Linked DNA regions of Xenopus tropicalis. The protein of the gene in region 1 purifies or fractionates together with the protein of each later gene. This does not show direct contact. Links are inferred from orthologs where the notes say so. Each region holds a gene or a part of one and is shown on either strand. Other genes may lie near its edges.

Evidence for each region.
Region 2: the proteins of wipf1 (region 1) and nck1 purify together in Homo sapiens (co-immunoprecipitation; 5 studies listed by BioGRID and IntAct, with this or other methods). This does not show direct contact. The link is inferred for Xenopus tropicalis from reciprocal best matches to the Homo sapiens genes WIPF1 and NCK1.

The regions. Positions count from the first base shown.
Region 1 is NC_030685.2:66,318,960-66,327,160, forward strand, and holds the start of wipf1 (WAS/WASL-interacting protein family member 1), read left to right. Parts: upstream 1-3,224; 5' UTR 3,225-3,451; intron 3,452-3,563; exon of another isoform or gene 3,564-3,796; intron 3,797-8,201. UniProt on the Homo sapiens protein: Plays a role in the reorganization of the actin cytoskeleton. Contributes with NCK1 and GRB2 in the recruitment and activation of WASL.
Region 2 is NC_030681.2:132,190,929-132,199,113, reverse strand, and holds the start of nck1 (cytoplasmic protein NCK1), read left to right. Parts: upstream 1-3,676; 5' UTR 3,677-3,802; intron 3,803-8,185. UniProt on the Homo sapiens protein: Adapter protein which associates with tyrosine-phosphorylated growth factor receptors, such as KDR and PDGFRB, or their cellular substrates. Maintains low levels of EIF2S1 phosphorylation by promoting its dephosphorylation by PP1.

The DNA.
Region 1 (8,201 bases):
CTCCGTTCCTCTAATCTAAAGGGGTGACCTCTGGTGCGTTGATTGTTTTTATGGGAAAAAAGAACATCCCCTATCTGCCTATAATCCCCTCTAATGTACTTGTACAGAGTAATCATGTCCCCTCGCAAGCGCCTCTTTTCCAGAGAAAACAACCTCAACCCTGACAGTCTCACCTCATAGTTTAAATCTTCCATCCCCTTTACCAGTTTAGTTGCATGTCTCTGCACTCTCTCCAGCTCATTAATATCCCTCTTAAGGACTGGAGCCCAAAACTGCACCGCATACTCAAGGTGAGGCCTTACCAGGGATCTATAAAGGGGCAAAATTATGTTCTCATCCCTTGAGTCAATGCCCTTTTTTATACAAGACAGCACTTTATTTGCTTTAGTAGCCACAGAATGACACTGCCTGGAATTAGACAACTTGTTATCTACAAAACCCCCAGATCCTTTTCAATTAAGGATCCCCCAACAAACTACCATTTAGTGTATAACTCAAATACCCAAACCCCTATCTCTCCCCCCCCCCCCATCAGTTACTGAGTGTGCTGGCAGGATTGCTCTCTTCTTATATATACATCTTTTATATTCTAACTCTCACACTTACTGTGAAACCATTTCCTTCTTCTCTCCTCTCTGGTTTCCTGTTATCTTTAGCGCCGTTTGGTCAGATCAGCCACCGTCAGGCTTGTGAAACCCAATGTGTGCACTCAGACACAGGAATCAGCTATAATAAGATAAATAGAGAAAATAAGATAAATGGGTCAGAAGTCAGAATAATAACTGAGAGTGCACTTACCTGAGCTGCAATCTGATTTTAATGGCTTTGTGCTACATATGAAACCACAGTCCCCCAGTCAATGTACATATATATTTATAATGTTATTTGGTCTTGCACTTGCATGTATACTAGATAGCAGCAGGACACAGTTAAAAGGGAATGCAGCATGTGCATTGGCCACAGGCCATCAAATTGGGGGACAAACAGAGATACAGTAAATACAGTAGAAGCACATTGCTGGCACACTATATCACTGTCTACATCATGCAAAGAGTTAATTTAAAGGAGAACTGTGCCTTTCACATCTTACATATTTAAATACACTGAGCTGCCTGAAATCACCAAAGGTAAGTGGCCTAACATCAGCATCAACCAAAACAATTTTTTTTACATTATTAAAGAAAATGTAATGCTAAGCAACCTTCCAATAGCCCCTGTTATTTACTGTACATTGAGGTATTGACTAAACATTAAATGTGTGTTAAATGGTTTTCGTTCCCTAGTGGTCCCACCTTCCCCTCCGAATCCAACTAGGTGGAGATAAGACACTAATTTGCACCAGGTACCCAGTCACCATAGACATCCAAAAGCCCCAAATCCAAGGGATATACATGGCCCCCATTATCAATACTGTTGACTAGTAACAACACATCCTAGTAGGTGAAATCAGAGTTGCCTGTGCAGAACTGGAAAATATGTTTAATATCTCTATTTGTTCATATTGTTACTAGTGTCCTGCAGCCCCCCCTCTTTGCTGTGTCTTCCTTGCACCACTGCAACTGCAATGACAACTGCAACTCAGCTCCCTAGGTTAGCACTGCCTACACCGATTGTAAAGAGGCCCATTCATGGTCAGATTTTAGCTGCCAATTTGGGTCCTTTAGACCAATACGGCAGCTTATCTGCTCCTATATGGCCACCCCCGATGGGCCTACCCAGGGTCGGACTGCCCCAAGGGCCCCGAACCCCCCTGCAGCAGTCCTTGCTGCACCCCCCCTAAGCCCCTGCAGGGGCCCCCACCACCCTCCCGACATCCTCCCCTGAGCGCACATAAGTGAAACGCATCAGGGGAGGACATCGGCGGCCAGGGGAAGCGGCAACAGGGATCAGGTCTGACCCTGGGCCTGCCTAACTGATACAAGGCCTAAATTGGCTAGATTTTGATAGGGCAGGTTCAATTTTACTTCGGATCAGGGAAAGCATTGGCTGGTGGTCCTTGGGCCAATGGCACCTATGCTCGCCGTTCTAATTCAATTGTTTGGCCCTAGGGCTGAACGATTGAATTAGCCACATTTGGCAACCCGCCACCCAAGTCTGACACTGATCAGACTAGGGGGTATACTTATCATGCTGTGTAAAAAGTGGAGTAAAGCATTACCAGTAATGTTACCCAGAGTAACCAATCAGCAATTAGATTTCAACAGTTAGAAAATCAAATAAAAGCATCTGATTGGCTGCTATATACAACATCACTGCTGATGTTTTACTCCACTTTTTACACAGCATGATAAATATACCCCTTAATGTTAATTCATAGGTGAACTATTTCTTTACACTTCTGGTACTTTAACCCTTTTGCCAACTTAGAGGGCTTTTTTTTATCAAATGTAACAAATTAATTACCAAAATGTAAATAACTTTATAATGAAAAATGTTATTTTAAAAATTGCAAATGTGCTTTATTTGTTTAAATGTTTTCATGTTTTGCAAAGTGCAGAATTAGTTGTTATTTAGTGAATGCAGGCATGTTTATTAGGTGTAATGTAACCCATGTAGCATGATAGGCATGTAGCTAATGTGACCATTAAAGGAACAGTAACACCAAAAAATGAAAGTGTATAAAAGTATTAACAATATAATGTACTGTTGCCCTGCACTGGTACAACTGGTGTGTTTGCCTCAGAAAGACTATAGTTTATATAAATATGCTGCTGTGTAGCCCCGGGGGCAGCCATTCAAAGGAGAAAAGGCACAGGTTACTTAGCAGATAACAGATATCTACTTATGAGGCTTATCTACTAGTTATCTGCTATGTAACCTGTGCCTTTTCTCCTTTTTTCCAGCTTGAATGGCTGCCCCCATGGCTATACAGCAGCTTATTTATATAGTAGCTTTTCTGTAGCAAAAACACCAATTTTTTGCAGAGCAACAGCACATTATATTTTAATTACTTTAAAACACTTTATTTTTTTGATGTTACTGTTCCTTTAAGACAGGCACAGAAAGTGTATTTATGATCATTAGCAGCATTGCTGCATGTCACACCAGGTCAGTAGGTGCGATTCCATGATACCATGCAATGGAACTAGGTACTGCTACAAATACCATATGGGATGATGGGATGGGAGTGTAAACACAGCCATCATTCTATAAAACGCTGCTGAGTGTAGCAGCAGCCTCCGATTTGGATGTGCTACAATAATCGCAGCGCAGCTGATGGAGCAAGCTCAGGCCAGATGTGGGAACTGTTGCATCACATCAATGTTTCCGGACTGAGGGGAAGTCTGGATTTTTTTTCTCTTTGCACAACTCAGGGAGAGTGAGGGGAACAAGGCAGATCGGCCGGTGCCCGGGATAATCGCGGCGCAACATCTGGAGGGGAAGAGAAACGCAAGCGCCCGGAAGCGTCTGGAAGCGCCTCTCACTCCAGCAGCAGCAGCTGCAGCCACAAGTAAGTGACACCGAGGCACTAGGAAACTGCTGGGTGTGGCTTGGGCATGGGAACAGCTGGGCAGATCCTTACCATTCTTATCCTGCTGCTGTTTTGTGCATCTGCCATGCAGCTCCATCCCCACTGCCATGTCATCTAGTGCTGCGCTGCCTGCCGGGGAGACCCTCAGTGTGCTGCCTGCCGGGGAGACCCTCAGTGTGCTGCCTGCCGGGGAGACCCTCAGTGTGCTGCCTGCCGGGGAGACCCTCACTGTGCTGCCTGCCGGGGAGACCCTCACTGTGCTGCCTGCCGGGGAGACCCTCAGTGTGCTGCCTGCCGGGGAGACCCTCACTGTGCTGCCTGCAGGTATTTGCCACTGACTGGCAGCTTTGCTTTGGCTAACTTCTCCTACTGCTGCTTGTGGTACTAACTCACTCCCCCATACTCTTTTATATGTCTGTCATTTCTGGGACTAATGACCTGTTTACTAATCTGAAACTTGGGCAGCATATTCTTTAACTCAGCAGCAGCAGCCTTGTATGGGGAATGCAGGGAATGTGTGGACTGGAAAGAGTCAGGACCCTGATGGTTTGCCTGCTGGCAGTATAAGGAGGGGGTATGTTGTGTGGGTAGAGGTTCTGCAGCAGCTGACAGAATCCACTGACCCCTTTGGCAATATTAAGACAACTTTTAGCATTCTAAAAACAATTACCATGGCATCAAGCTGAAGGGAAATCCTATGTTGGCAGAACATACCATTTTTGGGTTTTTTTCCCCTTGTTTTTGCTATGTCTGCAATAAAGTGCAGTTCCCCCTTTATTCTGGGGTATTTTCTGTAACTTGCTGTATTTCCTGCTCTTATTGAATTGCTCTGTTTATTTGGCAATTTCTCTTCTCCTGAACTGACCTTCGTGCGTCATGTGTAATATCAGAGTTTTTCCCTAGAAACATCCACTGTCTGGTCCTATCAGAGCCTTTATAGTGCTTTCTTTCTGATATTTGGATATGGTCACATGATTGCAAGTAACTACATTTTTTTCTTTAAAAAAAAGATGGTACGTTGGTGCTGTTGCAGTAAACAGGGAAAATCTTGGAAATGTGCCCTTAATACCCTATGATGGAACATTTGAATTGCATTGGGTTACAGAATATTAAAGAATGAACAGACTCTTAGTGAACTAACATTTGGATTTATGCCTCGAAAGAATAAAATACAGTAGTTTTGTAGAAACTTAATTATTTTGCTTAAACCTTTGAAAGTTACAATCACTTGCAATCTTAGATAGGTAAATATAACTGAATAGCTGTGTTCTATATCAAAGCAGCAGTTCGGTCCTCCTTCCTGGCTAAGGATCTTAGTAGTCTTTATTACAGAGCCTGGAGACCACAGTGGTCCCAGATCCCATCTGACAGCTGTTTGCATCACTCCAGAAGTGAGATCTTAAGCCAGTGGTCCCCTAAAGATAGCCATACAGCTTGTTAAGCTAGGTTACCAAACAAGCAGGTCATTACACCTTGTGTCTCAACCCTTTGTAAGCTCTTTTGGGCAGGGCTCTCTTCACCTCTTGTATCGGTTATTGATTGCTTTATATGTTACTCTGTATGTCCAATGTATGAAACCCACTTATTGTACAGCGCTGCGGAATATGTGGCGCTGTATAAATAAATGTTAATAATGATAATAATTACTTGATTTGGCCACCATATTACTGGGCCAAGTTGGAATGGGGCAAATGTCGGGCAGATATTGATCAGATGGGACCTGCCAAGTACATGGGCCTATAAATTCACCTGTACAGCCAGCCTAACTGTGGCTGATGTTTGCATATAGGGTGTTTCTGTGCACCTTCATGAAATTTGGAAGCACCCTATTTGCAAACATCAGGTACAGCCTCCTTTCTTGTATTGTGCCCTTTGTATGCTGGCCAGGGAGTGTGCCTAGGAAAAACCCACTTGTTTTTGTGTTTAATAGATTGACTGTGGCTGGTCCCCCAGTGGACAACCATGTACCCTCTCCACCCATCTAGATTATAAGTAATATAGTTGTTTGGTTAATGTGAAGGGCCTGTGAAGGAGTACTCCCTCTTTTACGTGTATTCGTTTAAAGAGAAATATAACTTAGTTTGGAATTGTGCCCCTGGGACCCCATAAGATCCAGTACAGGTTGTAACTTATATCAGCAGCCCTCTAATAAAAACCCAGTGCAGCTTTCTGGCCTGCTGGCAGCGATGGCACATTCTGGCCATGTACTTTTTGATGCACAGAGGTCATATTATAGACCCCAGAGAACTTGCCCGGGGTAGCTGGCACACAAGGAGGGCATCAAGGCATCTAAGATAATTTACAAACATGTGGAGCAGAATTTGTACTTGGTATGGGTATCTTCAGTTCACCAGAGGGCTAGTGTAATGTCTTCCAACTACAACAGCCTGCAATGTGACATTTAGTTCTAGGGACTGTGTTGTGAGGAAACACGTATAAATCAGTATTTGTAGGTGTTGCTTAGCTGCATGCATCTGCTAAGATGTTCTCCATATTGGTGGCCTCAACTAGGGGACATTTTCTAAGCACATTTTCACTATGTGCCCAGGGCCTGCTGGTATGCCTGCCATAGGTACAGGTGGGTAAGCCAAGACAAGACTGGAAGCCCAGCCTGACATTTATTTAAGCTGAGATGCTGGAACTGCTGTGCTGGATATTCATAGAAATACAGCTGATTGGATTAGAAAGTGACATGTAATTCATGCTTTCAACTGGTTATTATCAATATCAACCCAACCATGCTAAGATAAACCTATAAAAATGTTATCTAACCACTGAGCTGTATAGAACACAAACAGCAATTGCAATTAGATTAACAGCTTCCCCTTTATGGAGGAATGTTGACCTTGGCAAAGAGTGGAAATGCATATGGAGCAGGGATAACATCTGTGCCGCAAACTTTCCCTACACACAGGTCCCTTGGACTGCAGTGTTTGTGCTGCTGGTCGCTCCTGTTCACTTTTTTTGAATTTCTTGTTTTTTTAACCCAGAATGCAGCTTTTCTTCCCATAATTCCACCATCATTGCAGCCGCAAAGGAAGGGGGGGAATGTGTTGTTGCTATGTTTTTCCAGTGCTCGGTATCAGAACGACTGCACATGATTTTTAGGCCCAAGCCCACTGTGAATTTTAAATAGGATAAGGGTTTGCACACATAAAACACAAGAATAGTGGTAGTATTAATAAAATAATCCTTTATATAATATGCAAAAGATTTAACAGCAATCAATTTTAATTACAAGATTACAGAAAATAATACATACATTTGTAAATTTACCCCAGGGTAATAGGGGTAATTCTCATCTTTTAATACTACCACTGTGCTTGTGTTTTCTGTGCGTGCCCTCCATTTATTTATATTTACTATATGCCAAGCCCACTGAGAATTCAGGACCAGAGGCCGGGTGGTGCAGCTATATATATGGGATCCATTCAGGGTCGGACTGGGCCACCAGGGCACCAGGAAAAAACCCGGTGGGGCCAGACCCAATTCCTGTCACCGCTCCCCTGGCCACCAGTGTCCCAACCCTGACGCATTGAAAGTAAGTTTCACTTACTTACCCGGTGGGCCCTGCAACCCCCAGTCTGACCCTGGATCCATTATCTGTAATTCCGTTATCCAGAAAGTTCAGAATTACAGGAAGGCCATCTCCCATAGACTCCATGTTAATCAAATAATTACATTTTTTTTAAATGATTTCCTTTTTCTCTGTAATAATAAAACAGTACCTTGATCCCAACTAAGATATAATCAAACCTTATTGAAAAACAATCTTATTGGGTTATGAGCATTCTATCATTTACAGCCAGGGTCGGACTGAGCCACTGAGGCACCGGGAAAAAACAAGGTGGGCCCTGGTGGCTCAGACCCGGTCCCTGTGGGCACTCACCCGGTGGTGCCCCTCCCCTGACGTGTTTCACTTATGCGCTCTCAGGGGAGGACGTTGGGCTGGGGCCCCTGTGGGAGGTTAGGGGGGCATGGCAGGGGCCCTTGTGGAGTGGGGGGACGCGGCCGGCAGGGGCACCTTGGGGGGGCGGGACACTAGGGGCAGCAGCCCCGATGGACCCTGCACCCCCCAGTCCGACCCTGTTTATGATCCAGCATTTCTATAAAATGAATTGTTCATAAGCAAACTTATAGGTTAATTCGATTTTAGAAATGGCTTTAAAGTTATATGTAAATGTATTACAAGCAGCATCTATCTTTTTTCTGTTCTCTACACAAGTGGTCCTGACAACTGAAACAATGTAGCAGAAATCACCTGATTAGCAGAGATACCGTAGAGGGGACTGACTGCTACATTGTTACAAGAGTCAGAACTGGCAGTGAATGCAGAGAACTGATGTCTGCATTACAGGGTAACCACATAAACAGCCAGGGCCTTATATATAGTGAGAGAAAAAACTAGAAGTTGTGAAAGTTTATGAAATAACACATAAGTCTCAGTTTGAGTGTTGATCACAGACAAGTTAGAAAAAAAACCTGTACAAAGAAGGGCTTCTATGCTATTTCCAATGACCAGCAGCAAATGGCTTCCATCTCTTTTAATGGAGTCCCATATAAAGCTTGCTTAACTGGGAGTTATTGCCACTTCCCCATGTGACAAGGAGTATATATCAATAGTGTTCTTCCATTGTACTAAAAAACATTAGCTTCAATGCGGGACAGTAAAACCCACAATTTGAAATCACTGAAATAGAATATACTTCTATATGGTAACAATGAGATT
Region 2 (8,185 bases), on another chromosome or scaffold:
ATCAATCAGAAAGCTGCTCAACTTCAAGCCATGCTAGAGGCCGACACAGGTTAGTAAAGGGCGGGCAGGGAAACACATATTACAGAAAAAGCACAAGGGTTTATGTATGTATGTATGCATAGTGACACATAACTGTTAAAACTGAGACTTGTCACTTTCTAAAATAGGGCTTAAATTGTAAAACAATGCTTTACACAGACCAATATCTGCATCTTTAGAAATAAATCCAGTTTCACTTTAACTCACATTTCTAACTTTTTTCTGCAGTGAGGAAATAGTCAAACATAATATATTCTATTCATAAGAATTCTTTGCCATTTCTTTGAGGCTGTGTTATATTTTATGCATTTCCATTGTATTTTGGACAGCAGCAAAGGTTTTGGCAAAACTAAACATATCCCATCAACAGATCCTCCCTAATCCACTTTACTAAATATCTCATCATGGAATCCTTCATGAAGTCAAGCAGATTCTCTGTAATCAATTTATTGTCTGTCGTATTCACAAGAAGCATTTCTTTGTATTATGTCAAAACTTTTGCTGAAATCAGGTTAGCCAATATCCATATAAAAATTATTTGTAATTGTGTTTAATTGTCCACCCACTGAGAGGCACCATCTCTCCCTACTATACCTACTATCCCACAGCCACAGTCCCTTCCCAGAGGCTATTATCCCCCCACTGCTACTATAGGCACCATCTCTCCCTACTATACCTGTTATCCCACAGCCACAGTCCCTTCCCAGAGGCTATTATCCCCCCACTGCTACTATAGGCACCATCTCTCCCTACTATACCTGTTATCCCACAGCCCCAGTCCCTTCCCAGAGGCTATTATCCCCCACTGCTACTATAGGCACCATCTCTCCCTACTATACCTGTTATCCCACAGCCACAGTCCCTTCCCAGAGGCTATTATCCCCCCAATGCTACTATAGGCACCATCTCTCCCTACTATACCTGCTATCCCACAGCCACAGTCCCTTCCCAGAGGCTATTATCCCCCCACTGCTACTATAGGCACCATCTCTCCCTACTATACCTGCTATCCCACAGCCACACTCCCTTCCCAGAGGCTATTATCCCCTCACTGCTACTATAAGCACCATCTCTCCCTACTATACCTGCTATCCCACAGCCCCAGTCCCTTCCCAGAGGCTATTATCCCCCCACTGCTACTATAGGCACCATCTCTCCCTACTATACCTGCTATCCCACAGCCACAGTCCCTTCCCAGAGGCTATTATCCCCCCACTGCTACTATAGGCACCATCTCTCCCTACTATACCTGCTATCCCACAGCCACAGTCCCTTCCCAGAGGCTATTATCCCCCCACTGCTACTATAGGCACCATCTCTCCCTACTATACCTGCTATCCCACAGCCACAGTCCCTTCCCAGAGGCTATTATCCCACTGCTACTATAGGCACCATCTCTCCCTACTATACCTGCTATCCCACAGCCACAGTCCCTTCCCAGAGGCTATTATCCCCCCACTGCTACTATAGGCACCATCTCTCCCTACTATACCTGCTATCCCACAGCCACAGTCCCTTCCCAGAGGCTATTATCCCCCCACTGCTACTATAGGCACCATCTCTCCCTACTATACCTGCTATCCCACAGCCACAGTCCCTTCCCAGAGGCTATTATCCCACTGCTACTATAGGCACCATCTCTCCCTACTATACCTGCTATCCCACAGCCACAGTCCCTTCCCAGAGGCTATTATCCCCCCACTGCTACTATAGGCACCATCTCTCCCTACTATACCTGCTATCCCACAGCCACAGTCCCTTCCCAGAGGCTATTATACCCCCACTGCTACTATAGGCACCATCTCTCCCTACTATACCTGCTATCCCACAGCCACAGTCCCTTTCCAGAGGCTATTATCCCACTGCTACTATAGGCACCATCTCTCCCTACTATACCTGCTATCCCACAGCCCCAGTCCCTTCCCAGAGGCTATTATACCCCCACTGCTACTATAGGCACCATCTCTCCCTACTATACCTGCTATCCCACAGCCACAGTCCCTTCCCAGAGGCTATTATACCCCCACTGCTACTATAGGCACCATCTCTCCCTACTATACCTGCTATCCCACAGCCACAGTCCCTTTCCAGAGGCTATTATCCCACTGCTACTATAGGCACCATCTCTCCCTACTATACCTGCTATCCCACAGCCCCAGTCCCTTCCCAGAGGCTATTATACCCCCACTGCTACTATAGGCACCATCTCTCCCTACTATACCTGCTATCCCACAGCCCCAGTCCCTTCCCAGAGGCTGTGGAATGCCCTTCCTAGTGATGTGGTAATGGCAGACTCTGTTAATGCCTTTAAGAGGGGCCTGGATGAGTTTTTGAACAAGCAGAATATCCAAGGCTATTGTGATACTAATATCTACAGTTAGTATTACTGGTTGTATATATATAGTTTATGTATGTGAGTGTATAGATTGGTTAGTATAGGTTGTGTGCTGGGTTTACTCGGATGGGTTGAACTTGATGGACAATGGTCTTTTTTCAACCCTATGTAACTATGTAATTATCCCACTGCTACTATAGGCACCATCTCTCCCTACTATACCTGCTATCCCACAGCCACAGTCCCTTCCCAGAGGATATTATCCCACTGCTACTATAGGCACCATCTCTCCCTACTATACCTGCTATCCCACAGCCACAGTCCCTTCCCAGAGGCTATTATCCCCACTGCTACTATAGGCACCATCTCCCACTACTATACCTGCTATCCCACAGCCACAGTCCCTTCCCAGAGGCTATTATCCCACTGCTACTATAGGCACCATCTCTCCCTACTATACCTGCTATCCCACAGCCACAGTCCCTTCCCAGAGGCTATTATTCCCCCACTGCTACTATAGGCTCACTACTATACCTGCTATCCCTTCCCAGTAAGTACCACACCTAATACACCAACATTTGCTGAAGACTAAAGCCCTTAATACCATACCAATACCAGCATCATTTCACCCTATGTTACCTGTTATAGCGTACCACAGGCTATTGCTAATAGAGCTGCTAGTTGCAGAGAAAGCAGGCTGTGAGCATGCGCATATGGGGAGGCTTCCCGGCCGTCCCACCCCTCTGCAGACCCTACCATATGCCAGCGCTTAGGGGGGCGACCCCTGTTTTCAGCTTTTGTGCCCCAAGCTACGCGCAAAACCCCGAAAATCACACTGAAACATGTTAATTATGAAATATCATTTGCATAATCTACGCATGCGCATCTCCCTCTGTTCATGACGTCAGTAAATTTCTCAAGTAAGAAAAGGAATACAAATCGATGCCCTCCAGCGGGACGTGAGATGACAAGTCACAAATACTGTCGTACAGACTGTCCAGGTTGGAACTCTCAGATTCTTAGCCTTGCCTTATTTTTCCTGAAATGAAACTAAAAGCGCCGAAGCGGAGCAGCATATTAGGGTAACAATGACCTAACGCCGGCAGTACGGCACAAGCGTTACCCTTGCGCCTGCGCAATGGGTATATTCGCCGTCAGTACATTTTTTTTCTTTGTAGTGGGCGTGGCCGCAGGGTGGAAGTATGACGACGCTTGGTTTGTGGCAAGGAAAAGAGCAGCGTTGCTTGTACGCGGGCGTGGCTAGGAGTGGTGGGCGGAGCTAGGTGGTTTCTGATGCCTGGCCGGAGAGGTAGAAGCTCTAGGCGGTTGGAATCTCTGTGAGGTCCGTGTTGGTGAGGTGTGTGCTGGGGCACATGGTGCCAGGCTCCGGGGCGCGCTTTCTCTACCCAGCTCCGCTGCCTGTCTCAGGTGAGCTTCCTTGGCTTGTCAGGGCGTTCTGAGAGGAAGTTACGGTGGGTTGTATGTCGGGGTGGGAGGGGGTCGTGGGAAAGGGAGAGGCCTGCTGGGGAGCTGAGTATCATTCCCATGACTGGCTGTGGAGACCTGGAATGTCATATTCGATTGTCTCCAAGCTGCTACGTTGTGCAGCTTCCCAGCATCCTCAGCTAGGGCACTATTGCAAGATAACCCTGCTTAGCTTATCATTTGTATTTCAGGGCTCTTGCTGAACCACAGCACCCACATTTCTCACTTCCTTAGGTGATGCTTAGAGTATAAGGAGTGGGATACACCTTAATCCCCCATAGCCTATCATAACCTTTTCTGAAAATACATTCTGACTGTTCTTTTCATTGATAAACAAAACAAAAAACTCCATATTTTCTTAGTCTAAGCAACTCCCTCTCTTTAACCCTTTGTTGCAACTGTTTTGGGGATACTTATAAACAGATGCCCAAGCTACAGAGGGTACAACTGTGCTCTCATAATCTTATTATCTACCTTACAAGAACCAGGAAGTTAGAATCATGGAGTCGCTTCAGTTGCTCTGTTTGCCCAATTTAGTTAAAGCAATAACAAACACCATCGATATGTTTTAATTAAAACAATAGACAAAAAGTATGTTTGGCACAAACCCTCTTTATTGCACTCATGTTAGGCAAGGAGTATACTCCTTTAAGTAGCTGCAGGCTTGCATGTTGGGAATCCCAGTTATGAAGAATAAACATGCATATTCTCTACTGCATTAACTATGTTTTATTATACAGATGCCTCACACTGTTTTCCTTATAGGCCTAGCCATTGATTCCCTACTAAATATTAATTAATGAAACTCGTTAGGCTGTGAACTGAAGCAGCACCAAGTGGAGTTGCATGGGGCTACTGCAGCTTAGTCAAATGTTTTCACTTTAGTTGTTGGCGTTTTAGTGATTGTGGTATGAACCCTGCATCCATGTGCATGACTGTGGGAACCCCAGCCTGGGTCTCTGAAACCCATTCATCCTCCTCATTTGTTAGGGATCCACAGAAGAACAACAGCAAGGCAGCTACAAGCTAAATATCTTGTTCTGCACACTGGCCCTTGTGGGGCTATGGCTTGTAGTAGATAGATACTAGATGAGTTGCCATGCTATGAAAGCTGTTAGGGCAATGGTACATGGGGCACTGGTGAGTAGAATTGGAAATCATGTGTTCTGCATAGCACTCCCAGTGGTCTATGAGCCATTGATCTTACATGACATTTATACCTATAACTTCTTACAGTTTTATTACAAAAGAATATCTTAATTGAAAATGGATTTTTACTTTCCTTACTTAGGAATCTGGACCAGCTCCTTTTCTCCTTCTGTGTTGCCCAGTCATTTAAGGCAGTTCATTCAGCAGACATGGGTCAATCTACATCCATGCATTGGTGCTGACTCAAATAGATCCACATGCCTCCTTTTCTCTGGCCAAGTGGCTTAGAAGGGGAGGGATCATAGGCTCATTTACTGGACAGACCAGTGGCTGTTTAGTCACTTAAGTCATTAAATGTCTCTTAATTGAAAGAGCAGTTTTCCACGGGGAGCCATTTTTTCATCGGATGCACCAGTCTTTGTGGTTGCATGAAGCAGGAAGCACTGTTGCAGTGCAACTGAATTACACAGCAGAAAGCAGCTTGTAAAGGAAGTTTGTGTGAGTGTGCGAGGAGGGGTGTTGTTTCGGTTGACTTTAAATCATGTATAATTTGAACGTGGAAATTGGCAAATTTCTTTTGAACACACTTGTGTTTTTAGCTAAAATATTCCTCAACCAGGAAGGCTAAAAACAAATGGTCAAAATTAATAAACATACAGTCGTAGCCATTACGGTATATTTTCATGAGTCAAAAGATATTGTAAGAGACAGTGAAAACAAGGCCAGACAGTAACGGTTGTGGGTGTATGAGTAGAAAGGAAGGAAAGTAATGGTCAGTATGACAACAAGAGAATGAGTGACTGTGACAGGATGTATATACAAGCTCATACTGACCCCATAGATAATACAGCAAACTATGGATCAGAGTGGCTTGATTCTATTCATTCTTCATAGTTTGGGCTGAACTACACAACGGTCAACAAAGCACATAATCCAAATAGTTCCACTTGTCCATAAATAATGCTACTGATAGTAAAAGTAGAGTCTGTTAACTACGTTAAAGTTGTCATCTGACACAATCCGGCTGTCAAAAGCTTCCAACCTATAGCAGCTAGTCTAATAGTCTAGTCCAGTGCTGTCCAACTGGCGGCCCGCGGGCCGCATGCGGCCCGCGGCCCCCCTCTGTGTGGCCCCCCACCTGTCTGGCTGCTTTGATGGCTTACCTTTGTGTAAGCTTTAAATGGTATCAGAACTGTAATTAACTGCCCCCCCCCCCTGCATGGTTCTCACCTCAGATTCAGGCTGTAATCAGGCTGTATTGTTTAAATATGTAATCCCCTGTACTGTTCACACCTTTTAATCTCTGCATTGTTCACCCCCTGCAGTGTTCACACCTCAGGCTCAGGCTGTAATCACACCCATTGTTCACTTCTTCACACCTCAGGAGCAGTAGAAACCCACAAATAATCCCTGCATACTACAAAAAGAACATATACTGAGGTGGTACTGCAATTAAAAAGTTTTTTAATATATAGTTATTGTGCAGACTGTAGGAGCAGTGCCAGCATTGTGTCACTGTAGGCTGCCTGTGTGTGAGCATAGGGCAAGCAGAGTATGGCACACACAGGCAGGGTAGGGAAGGCAGAGTATGGCACGCACAGGCAGAGTAGGGCAGGCAGAGTATGGCACACACAGGAAGAGTAGGGCAGGCAGAGTATGGCACACACAGGCAGAGTAGGGCAGGCAGAGTATGGCACACACAGGCAGGGTAGGGAAGGCAGAGTATGGCAGGCAGAGTATGGCACACACAGGCCAAGTTTGGCACAAACCAGCCAAGAATGGCACACACAGTGAAAGTATGGCACACGCAGGCAGGGTAGGGAAGGCAGAGTATGGCACACACAAAGGCAGGGTAGGGCAGGCAGAGTATGGCAGGTTTTTGCTGTACTACAACCATTAATATGGGTATGGTCATGTGATAACATGGGTGTGGTTTCAAGTGGGTGCGGTTTCAAAAAGGGGAGTGGTCAAAACTGGCTTCCATTATCGGCCCTCCACCACGTAGGTCGGAAAAATTCCGGCCCTCGGTACAACAGAAGTTGGACAGCACTGGTCTAGTCTAATAGGCTCTTTATTTCACATTGAAATACATCTACTGTATAGTCAGATCTTCACATATGGCAAAGTTAGGAGCTGTCTGGTTTTGCCTGATTAGATATCTCAGGTTTGGTGCTGTCTTTTAAAGGACAGTAAAAGCTCCCAACTTGGCTCTTCCAGGCTGTCTTATTTGTGTATAGGGCCCTCTGGAGAACCCTTTTTGACTGATATACTGATTATAATTGGCCAGATATCTGTTGGACAGATCTGACAATTCTGTAAGGTGAGGACCACTATGGTGCATTGATTTGGTCCTCACACAACAGGTCCCTGTAGCCCCCAGTAGGGTCTGATCTTTGGCCCCTCGGCCATCGATAGGATCAACCTGATTTAATTTTGTAGATGGGTGACTGAATTGGGCAAACATCTGCCATTTGGCAATTTCGTAAAATGAGTTCATATTTAAATGTATGGTCAGATTAACAGTGTGTAAATTAATATAGTTTTAGTCTTGCGCAGAGCACAAGTGGCTCCTCTTAACTATCTCATCTACAGATGCACCTTGCACTTGCCGACATGGCACATTGACAGATTACAATTTTTAATCTGTCTGATTCCAGAGCCAACCAATTTTTATAGTACAGTATGGTTGTCTATTAACTGGAAAATCAATATCCAGAAAGATTAATTTAGAATTTTTAAAAATATTTTCATTTTTCTGTGTACAGTAATAAAACAAAACAGTACCTTTGTACTTAATGGTTAGCATACTACATAAAGCCCAGTTCCCAAGTATTCTGAATAATAGATTCCATACCCCTACATGCATATGTCGGGATAAACAGGCAACCATACACGTGACAATAATAATGGTTCGTGCATGGCCAGCTTTATGCTGACAGTCATGCAACTTGAGGTCTCTCTCTCTGTGTACGGCCGTTTTGGAAATCAGAAAGACCTTAAGTCCTGAATCCATCATTTCACAATGGAAAAAGGTGAGGGCAGGGCTGTATGACTCTGCCAGCCTTAGGTGGGTTGCCAAGTGTATCTTACAAGTTACAGACAGATTATCATGTCCTGTATTTTCTTGTATACTTGTCACTTTTTGTTTAAAGGAGAAGGAAAGGCAAAGTCACTTGA